Linked DNA regions of Oryctolagus cuniculus. The protein of the gene in region 1 interacts with the protein of each later gene in a pairwise test. Links are inferred from orthologs where the notes say so. Each region holds a gene or a part of one and is shown in the gene's direction. Other genes may lie near its edges. The genes, in order: DMRTB1, IL16, QKI and PKP2.

Region 1 (3,511 bases):
CCGGGTGTTTCCCTCGGCATCGTGGCGCTGAGCCGGTGCTCCGGCAGGGCTCAGCTCGCCTGGGAAAGCTCAGCCCTGACAGGCGGTTTCTACCAAGTGCACATTACTTTCCCACCCTCAGAAGGTTGAAGAATCCTCAGTGGGCCCCTCGCCCGTCAGGGACAGCCTGGGCCGAACACCTCTGCAGGCAGAGTGGGAGTGGAGCTGAGGGGGCAGCGTCTGCCAGGGCCTCATTGTGGCCGCTCTGCCTGGGGACGTGATGAGGCTGTAGTTGGTGGCCGGCGCCAGCCTTGGGGGTTCCATGGCTGTGCTGAAGCGTCTTCTAAGAGCCCCTGGGTGGAGCTGAAGGGGCCCAAAGTGGGGAGGTCAAAAGCCCGATGGGTGCCGGAGCCCTGTAAGTGGATCCGAGCATGGCTGTATGGCTGCCCCGGGGCAGCAGCGTGATGGGCCGAGCCCAGCTCTGCGTTTCTAACACCTGCCTTGCTGCCCGCCTTCTTCAGGGCTCCCTGTGAACTTCAGCTTGGATCGTGCCATGGGGGCCGAGTACCTGGAGCGAGAGCCTTCCAAGCTGTACCCGAGCATGCATGCCTACTGCCCGTTCCCGCTGGGCTACCAGGATGTGGCCCCGCCCCCTGGGATCCCGCTGCAGACCGGCTTCCGGCACATCTCCTGCACCCAGTATCACGGAGGCAGCTTGGTGAGTCCTGTTCCTGGCTGCCTTCCAGGGCCTCCTACCCCAGCTGCCCTTGCCCTTATAGATCCTAAGTCATCACCGGGGCGGCCACTCGTGCCGAGCTCCCGTACCAGCAGGAGGGACACAGCCCTGAGCATGTGAGTGCAGTGGGTGTCTCTGAGAGCGCATGTGTGGACACTTCCAGGCCACTTGGCCCGGGCTGTGGCAGGTGCTTGCTCTGGGCACTTGGGTGACCACAAGCCCTGCCTGGTTGAGCACTGAGGGTGGAAAAGCTCTTCACTTTGCTGGGCACCAGGGACAGACGTCACTTCCCTGGGACTACAAGGTTTAAGGCAGAGCCAGGACCAGACATAGGTCCTCTGAACACAGGGAGAGAGCCCAGCTGAAACCTCGGAGGACATTCAGGAAGAGGTGGCATTTGAGCTGAAAATTCTGAAAACCTTCCTCCTGCAGATAGGAGTGAGATACAGTCCTCTTACCAGGGGGACGGACGCGGGTACCAGGTGCTCTCTTGGAGCCTGGGCTTCCGAACCGCACGCGTGTGAGAAGGGGCTCAGCCCTGCTGTGTGGAGCACGCGGCAGGAATGGCCAGGTTCCGCGGCCTCGGGTGCCGGCTGCTCCCAGGCCAGGGTGGTTTCCAGGCCACTCCGATTCGGCCATCTCAGAGGACCTGCAGGGCTGCAGCATGCCCAGAGGCCAGGACTGACTGTGGCTTCCTGGGCCTGTGGGACAGAGCGGTTGGTGGGAACAGGGACCACTGACACTGCCCCTGCAGGGGAGGGGGAGAGGAGTGAGGAGCAGGATTCAGGAGAGGCAAGCTTGGCATTTGAGGAAGGAAGTCACTGCCACAGAGCTTGGAGGGGTCCCTGGGGTCGCCGCCTTGCCCACCCTCCAGGCTCCCAGGGCAGTGCGCTCGCTCCAGCTCCACCCCAGCGTCTCCTCTGGCTGCTTCCGGTATCCTGGAGTTTGACTTAGCACTCGTTTCCCATTGATTCGAGGGGAAAACGTTTGACAACCGCTGGTCTTGATCATTCCCTGGGCGCCGGCCGGCCCTTTTACGAGCCTTCAAGGTGGGTGTCGGCACCCCATGGCAGAGTTGCCAGAAAAGGTTCGGACAAGTTAAGTTTCTGTCCAAGGTCGTGGAACTGGGGGGTGAGGGACTGGGATTCACACGACACGGCTGGCTGGTGACGAGCCAGGATGCGTCCCTGGTCACCCTGACTCTGGCACTGGGCTCTCTTCTGCCCCAAACATGTCTCACGCAGAGGTGGGCAAGCGTGGCCCTGCATCCTCAGCACCACTGAAACCTGTGGGCACTCCTTCAGCCGCCCCATTGCAGGCCAGGGAAAGCAAGGGGTCTCTGGCCTCCACACAGAGAGGGCTCAGGCCAAGTGGGGCCCGCACCAGCTGCTCCCACAGAAGCCCAGGCCTGGAGTCCAGGGCGGGCTGTGATTGACAGGCCTGCCAGACGCCCTCGTTCCGAGTGTGATCCCAGCTGGTTATCTGGCCCCGAGCTGCTGCCACAGGCCCAGACAGGAGCTGTGATCCGGGGAGGGGTAGACTTGGCTGAGCAGCTTGGAATTAAAGCTCTAATGATCCACCCTCCCTCCCCCTCACGTCTGGAGAGAGGATCAGGCCTTTATTCGCGAGGCTGTTTCAAACCCGAGAGCCCAGGAGTTCCTCTCATCCTGTCCTGTCCTTGCCTCCGCCCCGTCCCTGTCCCTGGGCCCATCCCTGCCCTGCGTATCGCTGCGCTCCCTCTGGGCTCCTCTCCACAGCAGAGCACAGCCCTGGAGCTGGACAGCCCCAGGGTCAGTCCCCCCTCCCTGTCCACCAGCCCTGGGACCTGGGGATGCTCCCTGCCCTCTGTGGGATGGGTGGGAGCACCCGTCTCTCTGTGATACTGATTAACCAAGGTGTGACACCTGAAGACGCCTAATGCAGGGTCTGGCACGCAGTAGGTGTTTAAGAGTGGACTTTCGGTGCTTCCCTGTGGTCAAAATCAGGAAGCATTGGCGTAATCGAAGGAGATGTTTGCAAACCTCAGAGCCTTTAATAGGCTCCTGTGAGACCCTCAAGTGTGGCAAACAGTGTGGGAGTTCTTCAGACTCACTTGTCTGAGAACTTTTTTTTTTTAAGATTTATTTATTTATTTGAAAGGCAGAGAGAGAGGTCTTCCATCTGCTGGTTCACTCTCCAGATGGCTGCAACAGCTGGAGCTGGACTGATCTGAAGCCAATAGGAGCTTCTTCCAGGTCTCCCATGTGGGTGTGGGGCCCAAGGGCTTGGGCCATCTTCTACTGCTTTCCCAGGCCATAGCAGAATGCCAGACAGGAAATGGAGTAGCTGGGATTTGAACTGGCACCTAAATGGAATGCCTGTACTGCAGGTGGTGGCTTTACCCATTACGCCATAGCACTGCTCTGAGAATGGTTTTTTAAAACAAGGAATCCTCTAATTTATTTTCACTTTTTAAAAAATACTTTTCAAAGACAGAGAGAGAGAGAAATAGAGACAGATCTCCTATCCACTGGGTCACTCCTCAAATGCCCACAGCGGCCAGGGCTGGGTCCAGTCAAGGCAGGAGCCTGAGACTCAGCCTGGGTCTCTGAGTGGGTGGTGCAGGTGCAAGTCCTCCATCATGTGCTGCCCCTCCCACCCCACCCCCGGTGCTCTGGGCAGGCAGCTAGAATGGGGAGCAGACTCGCTCGGGACAGGCCCTCCAGTTATGTGACACAGGCATCCCAAGCAGCATCTTCACTGCTGTCCCTAAGAACGCTTTAACAACTTGAACTTGACAGTATCTTATAGGACCCT
Region 2 (4,064 bases), on another chromosome or scaffold:
CAGGATGATCGTGGGAACCCCAAAGGACACCGGGAAGCTCGTGATGCAGATAAAAACAAAAAAACCAGCTGCTCCACTGAACCAATCCAGTTTTCTCTCTGCTGGTGCACCATGCTGTACACCTGTTTTGTAAGCTGTTCTATTCATCTACAAGAGAACACAGGCAGCTTCCTGCGACAGTTAGTCTTCCTCTATGATTTTGTCTCAGTTTCTGCCACTCATGGCCTGTTCCTCCAGCTTATTTCCTAGTGTTGCTGCAGCTGGGGGTGACCGAATCCCAGGGCAGAGTCTGGTTCTTGTGCTCAGGGCACAGCCATGGCACCTGCTGTCGCATAGCCTGGGCTGGCACCAGGAAGCCCTCGCTCGGCACCCATCGCTGCCCTGGAGTGAGGGCCACTCTCGGGGAGTGTTCCAGCACCCTCATTACTTACCGCAGGTCTATTTGGGGACAGGGACAGTCACTGTGTGGCCCTGAGTGACAGAGTGACATCAGTCAGACAAGTTTCCACCCAAGAAGACCTGGGGCTCTTGGCAGGGACAGATGACCCAGGAACAAAGTCAGGGTTGCTGTCACTGGCTTCCCTAGTGAGTTTTTTTTTTCCTTTCTGTCTCCGCCCAAAGAGAGGCTCTCTCTTTCAGCCAATGTCCCACCACCATGTCCAGAAAGCCCCAGCACCCTTGTCACAGCACGGCTGTCACTCTTGCCTGGGTTCCAGCTCTGCCTGCCCACTCCTTCAGGCTTCTCCCGGTCTTTTCAGATTTATTGAACCCAGCAGCCCAATCGACCGTTTCAAATACTAGTGCTTCTTGTCCAAAAATAAAGTTTGCTGGAAGCAGAGGGCAGGCAGGGGGAAAGTGGGCAAAGCATGTCACAGCAGCGTCCGTCCGTCCATCCGTCCCCTCTCCTGGCCTCCCCTGCGCGCCCTGGCGAGGGGGTGGGGGCCCAGGCGCCTTCTGTGTGTCTGGCCCAAAGTCAGCCTCCACCTCCCACTGCCCTTCTCGGGACACAGGCTGCATTCACCAGCCGTCGCCCCGTCCACGCCCCAGGAAGATTTTATGAAAAGCGTGTTCACTCGGACTCCACAGGGGCTGTGTTTGTGTGTGGTGTGTGCGAGGGAGAGGATGAATCACTTCGATTCTGGGCAAGCAGCGGAGGTGTTGTGTTTGTCCCCTGCCATCGCAGAAACACCCCAGGATGCAGTTAAAAAAAAAAAAAAGGCAACACGTAGGGGTGGGGGGTGCCGAGACGGAGGGCTTGGCAGGGGTGGGACCAGGGAGTGGAAGGATGTCCACACAGAGCTCCGCGTCCCAGGGAAAGTCTGAGGTTTTGCATTTCTGTTTGTGGTGCAGGGAAGGGCTTGAGCCAGTGAAATAGCATCGCCTTTATACATATTGGCTTCCCAAGACGGGCAGGAGCTGGAAGCGGCCGTTGTGAAACGTTAAAGATTTTCTGGCAGAGAGAGAGGATTTTTTTTTTCTCCCTCTCTCCCTGCTGGGGAAAAACAGTTCTAACGAGGAGTTACTTTGTAGTTTTAAGTCATATTCAAATCCACCCCGTGCTAGGGGCTGCTGGGGATCCCCCCACGGCAGCTGGATCCTGGAGTGCGGGGACTGGACCGTGCCCGGCTGGGCATGAGTCTGCAGCGGAGGGTCTTCCCGAGAAGGGAGAACGGTAAGAACCGGGCGGGGAGGGGGCCCGGGGAGGTGGGACGCGGGGGTGGTGGTGGGGGCTCGCCTTGCCTCTCTGACCTCCTAACACAGGGGCGGGAGCCTGGCTTGCGGTGACCCCGTGGCGGGTGAGTGTGTGTGCGCACGTGTGAGTACGCGTGTGCACACGTGTGAGCCTGGGCGTGCACACGTGGGCGGTGCAGCAGGACCCGGCGGGCGGTGCGCGGAGGGCTGAGGAGCGCTCACCGCACAGGGTGGGGGGCAGTGGGGCCAAGGATCGGCACGGAGATGGGACAGCTTTCTAAGTGCCCTCACGTCCTCTTTGAGGGTGGCTGGCCACGCCCAGGGCCAGGGGAGACTCTTAATGATAGAGTTCTTGGGGTCCCCACCGGCTGAGCTCCGGTCAGTTGGAGGGGGGCTGTTCGGCTCCTGGAGGGGACAGAGTCGCGGAGCAGAGCTGGTGGTGGTGGGGGGAGCCCCTGGCTTCCAGCAGGTACGGACTGATAGATGAGGTCATTTCTCAGAACAGCCCCCTCCCACCGCCGCCACCACCACCAGCAGTCTTTCATTTTCGCTGGGAAACGTAAGCAGACATCAGGGCGAAGGATTTTAACCCTTTGGCGCAAGCTTTCAAGTCCACCCTGGCAAGACTTCAGTGCTGCTGTAACTTTGGCAATCGGGAATAAACACATGGTTTTCTTTAACAAGGAGAGAGAGGCAGAGTCAAAGGCACAGCCTGGCTTTCCAATCCAGGCAGATGCGGCGGGGGGCCACGGCGATCTGGGCCAGTGTCCAGCGGAGCCCCCCTGCGAACTGGGACGGGAGGCCGGCGAGGGGAGGGGGTGGCGCAGGGGACCCGGCTCTGGGACCCGCTGGCCGCTTCCTCTCGGGAGAGGAATTCAACCTCTCTGCGGCCACCATACATTCCCACCTGCCGGGAAGTCAGGAGCTGAAGGAACTGGTTTTTAGTTTTATTTATTTGAAAGGTAGAGGGATAGAAAGAGAGAGAGAGAGAGAAGAGAGAGGAGAGAGAGAGAGAATCTTTCACCCACTGGTTCACTCCCCAAGTGCCATCAACAGCCAAAGCCGGGAGCCAGGGACTCCATCTGGATCTCCCACGTGGGCAGCAGGAACCCAAATGCTTCAGCCCTTGCCTGCTGCCTCCCAGGGTGTGCATCAGCAGGGAGCTGGATCGGAAGCAGAGCCGATGACGTGGGAGGCGGGCGTCCCACGCGGCAGCTTAGCCCCTGCAGCACAGTGCTGTGAGCTCTCTTTCATGCCCAGGGAGGCCCTACAGGCCCTGAGCAGGTTTCCCAGATAGCAGGCAGGTGTGTGCATGGGGATTTCCCCGGAGGGTGCCAGCAAGGGGAGGGAGGCAGCACTGGACACGGGCAGTGGATCCAGCCAGCCCACGGGGCTCTGTGCCCCTGTGCCCGGGGGCTGGGGCTGAGGACGGTTCCTGGAGAGGTACTTGGTTTGGAGCTGTCCAGGGAGCCCTGGTGTCAGCTGTGGGAACCAGTGCCTTACCTAGTGCCTAGTGAGGTGGGCTCCCCTGGGCGCCCCCCTTCCAAATCCCACTCAATGCATTTCATCAGTGGGGTGGTGTGTTAGGTCACTGGCATTCCCCATGGACCCTGATTCGAGTCCCAGCTGCTCCGCTTTCTGATCTAATGCACCTGAGAAGGCAGCAGATGATGGCCCAAGTCCTTGGGCCCCTGGACCTGCGTGGGAGCCCTGGATGGAGTATTGAACTCCTGGCTTCAGTGTGGTCCAGCCCCTGGGTTGTGGCCATTTGGGTTGTGAACCACTTGATAGGCAACCTCTCTCTCTTCTCTTTTTCTCTCTCCCTCCTTTCCACCCTTTCTCTGTAACTGCCTTTCAAATAAATAAGTAAATATTGAAAAAAATGAATTTCACTGAATGCCTTCTTCTCTCTGAGTTCAGCTGTCAGGAGATCGGGCGTTAAATGTTTGGATAGACACCCGTCTGGTTAAACTGTTAGGCAGTTCCATGACCTTGGATATGCCGCCTCCCTAGGACTCAGCGTGCCCATCTGTAAAGTGGGTGGAAGCAGGGTGAACTGGAGATGCCTCCCGAACCCCTCCCGCTCTGCCATCGCACATGTGCAGGTTCTGAGCACTTGACCCTGGGACTGGGCGCGCCCCCCCAAAGGTCACAGGGCCACCAGTGCCACGGTTCCTGCCTCTGGGGGACCTTGTGACAGGGGCCAGCTGTCAGCAGGGAGGGGCTGGGCCTGTGGGAAGCAGAGGGAGGCCGTGCCTGGGGCTGGGCAGTGGGGAGGGGACTTTGAGGAGTGGGCTGATGCTCGCCGCTCCTCTACCCTGACATTCCTCTCCTGGCAAAGGTGACCCCCCACCCCCGAGACACCGCCATGT
Region 3 (3,564 bases), on another chromosome or scaffold:
TGTGATATCGAAATATTTCCATAATTTCTCACTACTTGATATGCTATTTAATAGCACTTCTTTTGCAATTGTCTTTCTTATCCTTGACAACATTCTGTTTACGCCTAAGGAAATTGGAAATAATAACCTGCTTCTCAAACTGTTTCTCCTGATAATTTAGTGATACCTTATATAAAGTTTGTTTGTACTTAGAAGCTCTATAAAGGGTGGGATTTCATATGCAACTATTGTATCCTTAGCATCTGGCTCCATTCCTATACAGAGTAGGTGTTCAACAAGTGTTCATTATAGGATCTGTCATTTAACCTAGTAGTCTTATTCCCAAGCTGTGTGTGTGTGTGTGTGTGGTGGGGGGAGGGAAATAATTCATAAGGTTTGTAATGTTACCATGGCAACATAATGCAGTTATAGTTTCTTTAAAGAGAAAAATTTATAACACTGTATTTTGTAATTTTTTTAGGAGGAGCAAAATAGAGGCAAACCCAATTGGGAGCATCTAAATGAAGACTTACATGTTCTAATCACTGTGGAAGATGCTCAGAACAGAGCAGAAATCAAGCTGAAGAGAGCAGTCGAGGAAGTGAAGAAATTATTGGTACCTGCAGTAAGTAGTTATTTCCAAATCTTAAATTTCGGTCTCACTTCTCAGGGTTTTTTAAATTAATGGCTGTTTAGTCTAATGGAGAATAGGTTATCATTTTTTAAAAATTTATTTGACAGGTAGAGTTATAGACAGAGAGAGAGACAAAGAGAAAGATCTTCCTTCCGTTGGTTCACCCCCTAAATGGCCGCTACGGCCAGCACTGTGCCAATCTGAAGCCAGGAGCCAGGTGCTTCTTCCTGGTCTCCCATGCGGGTGCAGGGGCCCAAGTACTTGGGCCATCCTCCACTGCCCTCCCAGGCCACAGCAGAGAGCTGGCCTGGAAGAGGAGCAATCGGGACTAGAACTTGGTGCCCATATGGAATGCCCGTGCTGCAGGCGGAGGATTAACCTAGTGAGCCACGGCGCCGGCCCTGAATAGGTTATCATTTAACCACAAAATATAAAAATAATTTATAGCTCATTTAGTGCTAGTCTAATGGGCAAACCATAGACATTGCTGACATTCTTAACTGGGAAAGCCTTTTCATGTGTGTATATATATATATATATACACACACACACACACACACACACACACACATATATATATGTATTTAAGATTTATTTATTTATTTGAAAGGCAGAGTTACACAGAGAGAGGAGAGAGAGAGAGGTCTTCCATCTGCTGGTTCACTCCCCAGTTGGCCGCAATGGCCAGAGCTGCGCCAATCTGAAGTCAGGAGCCAGGAGCTTCTTCCGGGTCTCCCACCTGGGTGCAGGGGCCCAAGGACTTGGGCCATCTTCTACTGCTTTCCCAGACCACAGCAGAGAGCTGGATTGGAATTGGAGTAGCCAGGTCTCGACCCGGCGCCCATGTGGGATGCTGGTGCTTCAGGCCAGGGCGTTAACCCACTGTGCCACAGCGCTGGCCCCCATTTTCCCATAAATTTTTGTAAAGAAGTTATGCAGGAAGTAGCAGACACAATATGACTTCTCAAAAATGCTGTCTTTTGAATCACTATATTTACGAGGAGAATGTAGGCACAGCATCAGCAAGGTAATGAAAGCTGTTCTTTTTCAAAAGCTGTTTCTTATTGTGAACAAGTAGTAAGTTTGTAGATGTCTCTACCACTAACTTTTATGCAAGGTAGGTGGGATGTGTTAGTAGGAGCATGTAATTTGAATTGTCTATGAGTGACAGGTACTCGGGGTAGCATCTCATTATCTCTTATAGAAAGATTAGTGAACATTAATTGAAACTTTCCCTTAATGTAATAAAAAGTCATCTTAATAAACTTAAACGATAGCTTTTACTAATGTAAAGCATGATTCAGAGCAGCTTTTTAACTTTACTATTATTTCTATGATCATAAAACTATTGTATTTCATATTTAGAGGTCGTAAATAGGATATTGAATGCTTTTTGAGGGTGACATCTCGTAAGAAATTACTCAGACACAATTTTGTGTTCTCTTCTTTCCCTCCATTCCATTTTCTTTACTCTTCTCCCTTTGGGTGTGCTTCTCATTAATAGGTAACCCTTTAGTAATTTTTAAAATGGCGATTACAACTATTACTAGACTATTATCTTTTTCAACAGGAAGTGAAAATTACTGGTTTTCTGAGTCACTATTAAATTTTGTTTTACAATAGTAAGAATACATGGAAGGATAGACCCTAATTGCCATTGAAAAACTAATAACACTGTTAGTACTTTGCCCACCAAAAATGTATTAACATTGACATAAATGAATATGGCATCTGCTGTTTTTATTTTCCAGATAGTCTAATCTTTATTACCCTGCTAGTGTCTTCTAAAAGTAAACTCACCAATTATATACACTTTCCATTAACTTTACAAAATTAATTCCTTGGAAGGAAAAATTTCATTTAAGTTCTGTTGACCTTATAAGGAATACAAATAAGTAGGTTGAGCATAAATTAGAATTTCTGTTTGCCCACTATTATACCATGTAATTGTATAACTTTTCTTTAATAAATGTGTTGTATTCAGTAAGCTATATAAAAAAATTTTTGTAAGCATATTGGGCTATTAGTTCCACCTGGATGTGTAAGTAGGAGAAATTTCCAACTTATTTGTATCTGTTTATGTGTTTATAAAGTGAGAGTCATAGCAATCAATCTCCAAAGAACTTTTTGTTTTACATTTATTTATTTTAAAGATTTATTTATTCGAAAGTCAGAGTTACGGAGAGAGAGAGAGAGAGAGAGATATCTTCCACCCAATGGTTCACTTTCCAATTGGCCGCACTGGCCGGAGCTGTGCCGATCTGAAGCTAGGAATCAGGAGCTGCTTCTGAGCCTCTTACACGGGTGCAGGAGCCCAAAGACTTGGACCATCTTCTGCTGCTTTCCCAGGCCATAGCAGAGAGCTGGGTCAGAAGTGGAGCAGCTGGGTCTCAAACCAGCTCCCATATGGGATGCTGGCGCTACAGGCCAGGGTGTTAACCAGCTGCGTCACAGGGCTGGCCCCAGAACTTTTTGTTTTAAAAGTGGTTTGTCTTTGAATATGAAAAGGTGGTAGGGTAGTTCATAAAAAGAATGACAGAAACTTTAAAAAGCTTAATTTATGTCCTGAAGGAGAAAATTTCACTTTTGATGATAAACCTATTTATCTTCTATAGAAGAATTTAGTATTGTTATTGAACAGATTGTAACAATTTTAAATTGTGCTTTTTGAAATTACTTACAGTGAGGTAATAAAACTTTCTTAGAATTATAAATCATAGGATAAAAAGTACAGACTTTTTGGTTTGGCTTCTATCCAGTGATTTAACACTTGCAGTAATTTCTTATTTATTTTATTGAATATGTTTATTATGACATGAATACTGTATTAGAGAATTTGTTTTAATTAAGGTGAACATTATTAAATATTTGGTGATACCAGGGTTAAGCAGAAATTTAAACAAAACAAAACCTCTCCATAATTGATAATTACTGTCTTTGTAAAAGTTAAC
Region 4 (3,564 bases), on another chromosome or scaffold:
GGAAGCTGGAATCAAACCCACACCTTCCAGGGCAGGGCATGGGCATCGTAACTGTCAGGCTAGCAGGAAGCTGGAATCAAACCCGCACCTTCCAGGGTAGGGCATGGGCATCGTAACTGTCAGGCTAGCAGGAAGCTGGAATCAAACCCACACGCTCCAGGGTAGGGCATGGGCATCGTAACTGTCAGGCTAGCAGGAAGCTGGAATCAAACCCACACGCTCCAGGGTAGGGCATGGGCATCGTAACTGTCAGGCTAGCAGGAAGCTGGAATCAAACCCGCACCTTCCAGGGTAGGGCATGGGCATCGTAACTGTCGGGCTAGCAGGAAGCTGGAATCAAACCCACACGCTCCAGGGTAGGGCATGGGCATCGTAACTGTCAGGCTAGCAGGAAGCTGGAATCAAACCCGCACCTTCCAGGGTAGGGCATGGGCATCGTAACTGTTAGGCTAGTAGGAAGCTGGAATCAAACCCGCACCTTCCAGGGTAGGGCATGGGCATCGTAACTGTCAGGCTAGCAGGAAGCTGGAATCAAACCCACACGCTCCAGGGTAGGGCATGGGCATCGTAACTGTTAGGCTAGCAGGAAGCTGGAATCAAACCCGCACCTTCCAGGGTAGGGCATGGGCATTGTAACTGTCGGGCTAGCAGGAAGCTGGAATCAAACCCACACCTTCCAGGGTAGGGCATGGGCATCGTAACTGTTAGGCTGAATACCTACTCTTGGTGTTGGAAGTCTTAGTTTTGATTAGTCTTGGGGTGCGGGTGGGGGAATGAGGCAGTAAGATTACCAAACACGAGGAAAAAGGTGGGAGGATAAAGGAGGTAGAAGGGGGGACACAGTGCCTTGCCCCCAGATGCCCAAAGAGGAGCATTTTAACGGCTCTGAGAGTCGTGCCGGTTGAGAATCCCTCTAAGGCCCCACAGAGCCGGTCAGCAGGTTGCCTCCTCCTCGCTGTTCTCGTGAGACCACCCAACCACAGAGAAGCAGTGATTCCACAGCAGCCGGCACTTGTAGGTCCAGGCGGCGTTTTTCTAATGCTCGTGTGTATTGCCAAATACCGCAGCCTGGCGCGAAGCTGATCCGTGTTTTCTTCGACCACACTGACCCACCTTGTTTATACAAGCGCTCTTATCTAGCACTGTGAGGCACAGTTATTTTTATTGCCTACACCTACTTGGTACAAGAAGCTTCTGATTTCCGGGGCTGGGAACAGTTCTCTGGCTTGAGAAACTCAGTGTCCTGACCCCTAAACCAAATTCTTCAACGCTGTAACAACCAAACAGGTTTGAATTTTTGTCAGTCCTCTCTCCCTTTCTCTTCGTTCTCTATTTTTTAAATCAACTTTCATTTTGAAAATGTTGCAGAGAATGTTTTGATAACTTTTTTGACCATTTGCCACATCCGAGGGTGGTGGTAAGAGCATTTAAAAACACTAATAAACACTTCTTTCCTAGTAGCCTTAATTGCTTAAATTTAATAATCCAGTCTACAGTTGTTATGCAGTGAGTTATTTCAGTGTTTGTTTCATTGTAGGAAATCTGCACCGAACCAGCAGTGTTCCCGAGTATGTCTACAACCTGCACTTGGTGGAAAATGATTTTGTTGGTGGACGGTCCCCTGTTACCAAGACCTACGACATGCTCAAGGTAGGAGACCCCACAAGGCAGGCTTTGTTATCAGATTGCCAGGAAAATGTTTTCAAGGAACTGTGTTGTGGTATAATGTGTTAAGCTTCTGTCTATAATGCCAGAATGCCTTATGGGCACCAGTTCCAGTCCTGGCTGCTCCACTTGGGATGCAGCTGTCTGCTAATGCCCCTGGGAAAGCAGTGGAGGGTGGCCCACGTGCCTGGGGCCCTGTCACCCACACGGGAGGTTACACTGGAGTTCCTGGCTTTCATCTGGCCCAGACCTGGCCTTTGCTGCCATTTTGGGAGTAAACCAGTGAGTCAGTGGATGGAAGATCCATCCCTCTCTCCTTTCCTCTTTGCTTGGACCCTTGTGGGAGACACACAAGAAGCTCCTGGCTCTTGGCTTTGGGCAGGTTCAGCCGCAGCCATTGTTGCCATTTTGGAGAATAAACCAGTAGATGGGAGCTCCCCCCACCCTCTCTCACTGTGCCTTTCAAATAAATAAAAATATTTAAGAGAAAACATTTTTTCAAACTTCGCTAGATTTTTTTAAAATGTTTCCCGTTCTTACATATTACCATTTCCTAAACGACTGTTGGGAACACTAATTTTGTGTGGACACCTTGGAAAAGTGAGGACTTTAAAGCGCTATTTATGGATTCTACTTGAAAGGCAGAGAGAGGGAGAATCTTTCATCTACTAGTTTTTCCCCCAAATGCGGGCAACAGCCAGGGTTGTGCCAGGCCAGGCCGGAGCCAGGACCCTGGACTCCATCTGGGTCTCGCTCGTGGGCAGCAGGGGCCGAGCACTTGAGAAATGACGCTGCAAACCAGGAAGCTGGCTCGCTCGTGGAGCCAGGAACCGCGTGGGCTGCGGGTGGCCCGAGCTCCCAGAAACGTCGTTAGGTCCTAATCCAGAAGTAGCGCGCAGGTTAGCCCAGGCGGGTTTGCGCAGGTTAGCCCAGGCGGGTTTCAGAGAAGGCTTTCCCCACCAAAGGGTGGGGGTTCTTAGGATCCAGGGGAAAGGCTTGGGGGGTGGTGGGGGGTAGCAGTGCGGGCGCTGCGCGGCGCGACACCTGCTCCTGTCCCGTTTCTCCCCAGGCCGGCACCACCGCCACGTTCGAGAGCCGCTGGCGCAGAGGGACGGCGCAGTACAGCTCGCAGAAGTCGGTGGAGGAGCGCTCGCTGAGGCAGCCCCTGAGGAGGCTGGAGGTGTCCCCCGACAGCAGCCCCGAGCGCCTGTACTACGCGCCCAGCGACTCCCAGCCCGGCGTGCGCGGCCGGCCCGGCCCGGCCCCGTGGCCCCCGGAGAGCGTGCGCTCCGTGCCGCAGGGCGCGCCCCGCTACGCGCGCTCCGAGATCGTGGGCCTGAGCCACGCGGGCGGCCGGCGGCGCCATTACGACACCTACCACAGACAGTACCAGTACGCGGCGCTGGACGGCGCGGCCCCCGGCCCGGCCCTGCTCACCTACCCGCGGCCCGCGACCAGTCACAGCATGGGCAACCTGCTGGAGAAGGAGAACTACCTGAGCTGGGCGCCGCGGCCCGTGCCGCTCGTGCAGCAGAGCAGGGCGGCCAGGGCCTCCTGGCACCAGAGCTCCTTCCAGAGCGCGCGCACGCTGAGGGAGGCCGGGCCCAGCGCCGCCCTGGACACCAGCGGCCGCAGGGTGCACCTGACGGCCGGCCAGGTGGCGGCCGGCGCCTTCCCCGACGGGCAGCTCGGGTGAGTCCCACGGAAACGCGCCGGGGCGGGAGGAGGGTTTTCAGACAGCTCCCTCACGGGTAGATGGGCCCGTGCGCGCCCAGGTGTGCGCCCCGCGGCCACAGGTGGTGGCTGTGTGGGGCCAGGGCGTGCTGTCCCCCCGTCCGCCGTTCTGTGCGCAGTGCTGACCGCCCGTGTCCTACCCCCGGGCTCCGGAGGTCCACGCTG

The links.
Region 2: the proteins of DMRTB1 (region 1) and IL16 interact in a two-hybrid assay, tested with the Homo sapiens proteins (2 studies listed by BioGRID). The two-hybrid records come from large-scale screens. The link is inferred for Oryctolagus cuniculus from reciprocal best matches to the Homo sapiens genes DMRTB1 and IL16.
Region 3: the proteins of DMRTB1 (region 1) and QKI interact in a two-hybrid assay, tested with the Homo sapiens proteins (2 studies listed by BioGRID). The link is inferred for Oryctolagus cuniculus from reciprocal best matches to the Homo sapiens genes DMRTB1 and QKI.
Region 4: the proteins of DMRTB1 (region 1) and PKP2 interact in a two-hybrid assay, tested with the Homo sapiens proteins (2 studies listed by BioGRID). The link is inferred for Oryctolagus cuniculus from reciprocal best matches to the Homo sapiens genes DMRTB1 and PKP2.

Annotation. Positions count from the first base shown.
Region 1 is NC_091438.1:119,536,266-119,539,776, reverse strand, and holds part of DMRTB1 (doublesex- and mab-3-related transcription factor B1), read left to right. Parts: intron 1-500; coding exon 501-697; intron 698-3,511.
Region 2 is NC_091443.1:104,003,386-104,007,449, reverse strand, and holds the start of IL16 (pro-interleukin-16), read left to right. Parts: upstream 1-1,251; 5' UTR 1,252-1,632; coding exon 1,633-1,672; intron 1,673-4,064. UniProt on the Homo sapiens protein: Interleukin-16 stimulates a migratory response in CD4+ lymphocytes, monocytes, and eosinophils. Primes CD4+ T-cells for IL-2 and IL-15 responsiveness. Also induces T-lymphocyte expression of interleukin 2 receptor. Ligand for CD4.
Region 3 is NC_091436.1:5,210,485-5,214,048, reverse strand, and holds part of QKI (KH domain-containing RNA-binding protein QKI), read left to right. Parts: intron 1-460; coding exon 461-604; intron 605-3,564. UniProt on the Homo sapiens protein: RNA reader protein, which recognizes and binds specific RNAs, thereby regulating RNA metabolic processes, such as pre-mRNA splicing, circular RNA (circRNA) formation, mRNA export, mRNA stability and/or translation.
Region 4 is NC_091440.1:128,925,723-128,929,286, reverse strand, and holds part of PKP2 (plakophilin-2), read left to right. Parts: intron 1-1,537; coding exon 1,538-1,650; intron 1,651-2,734; coding exon 2,735-3,357; intron 3,358-3,564. UniProt on the Homo sapiens protein: A component of desmosome cell-cell junctions which are required for positive regulation of cellular adhesion.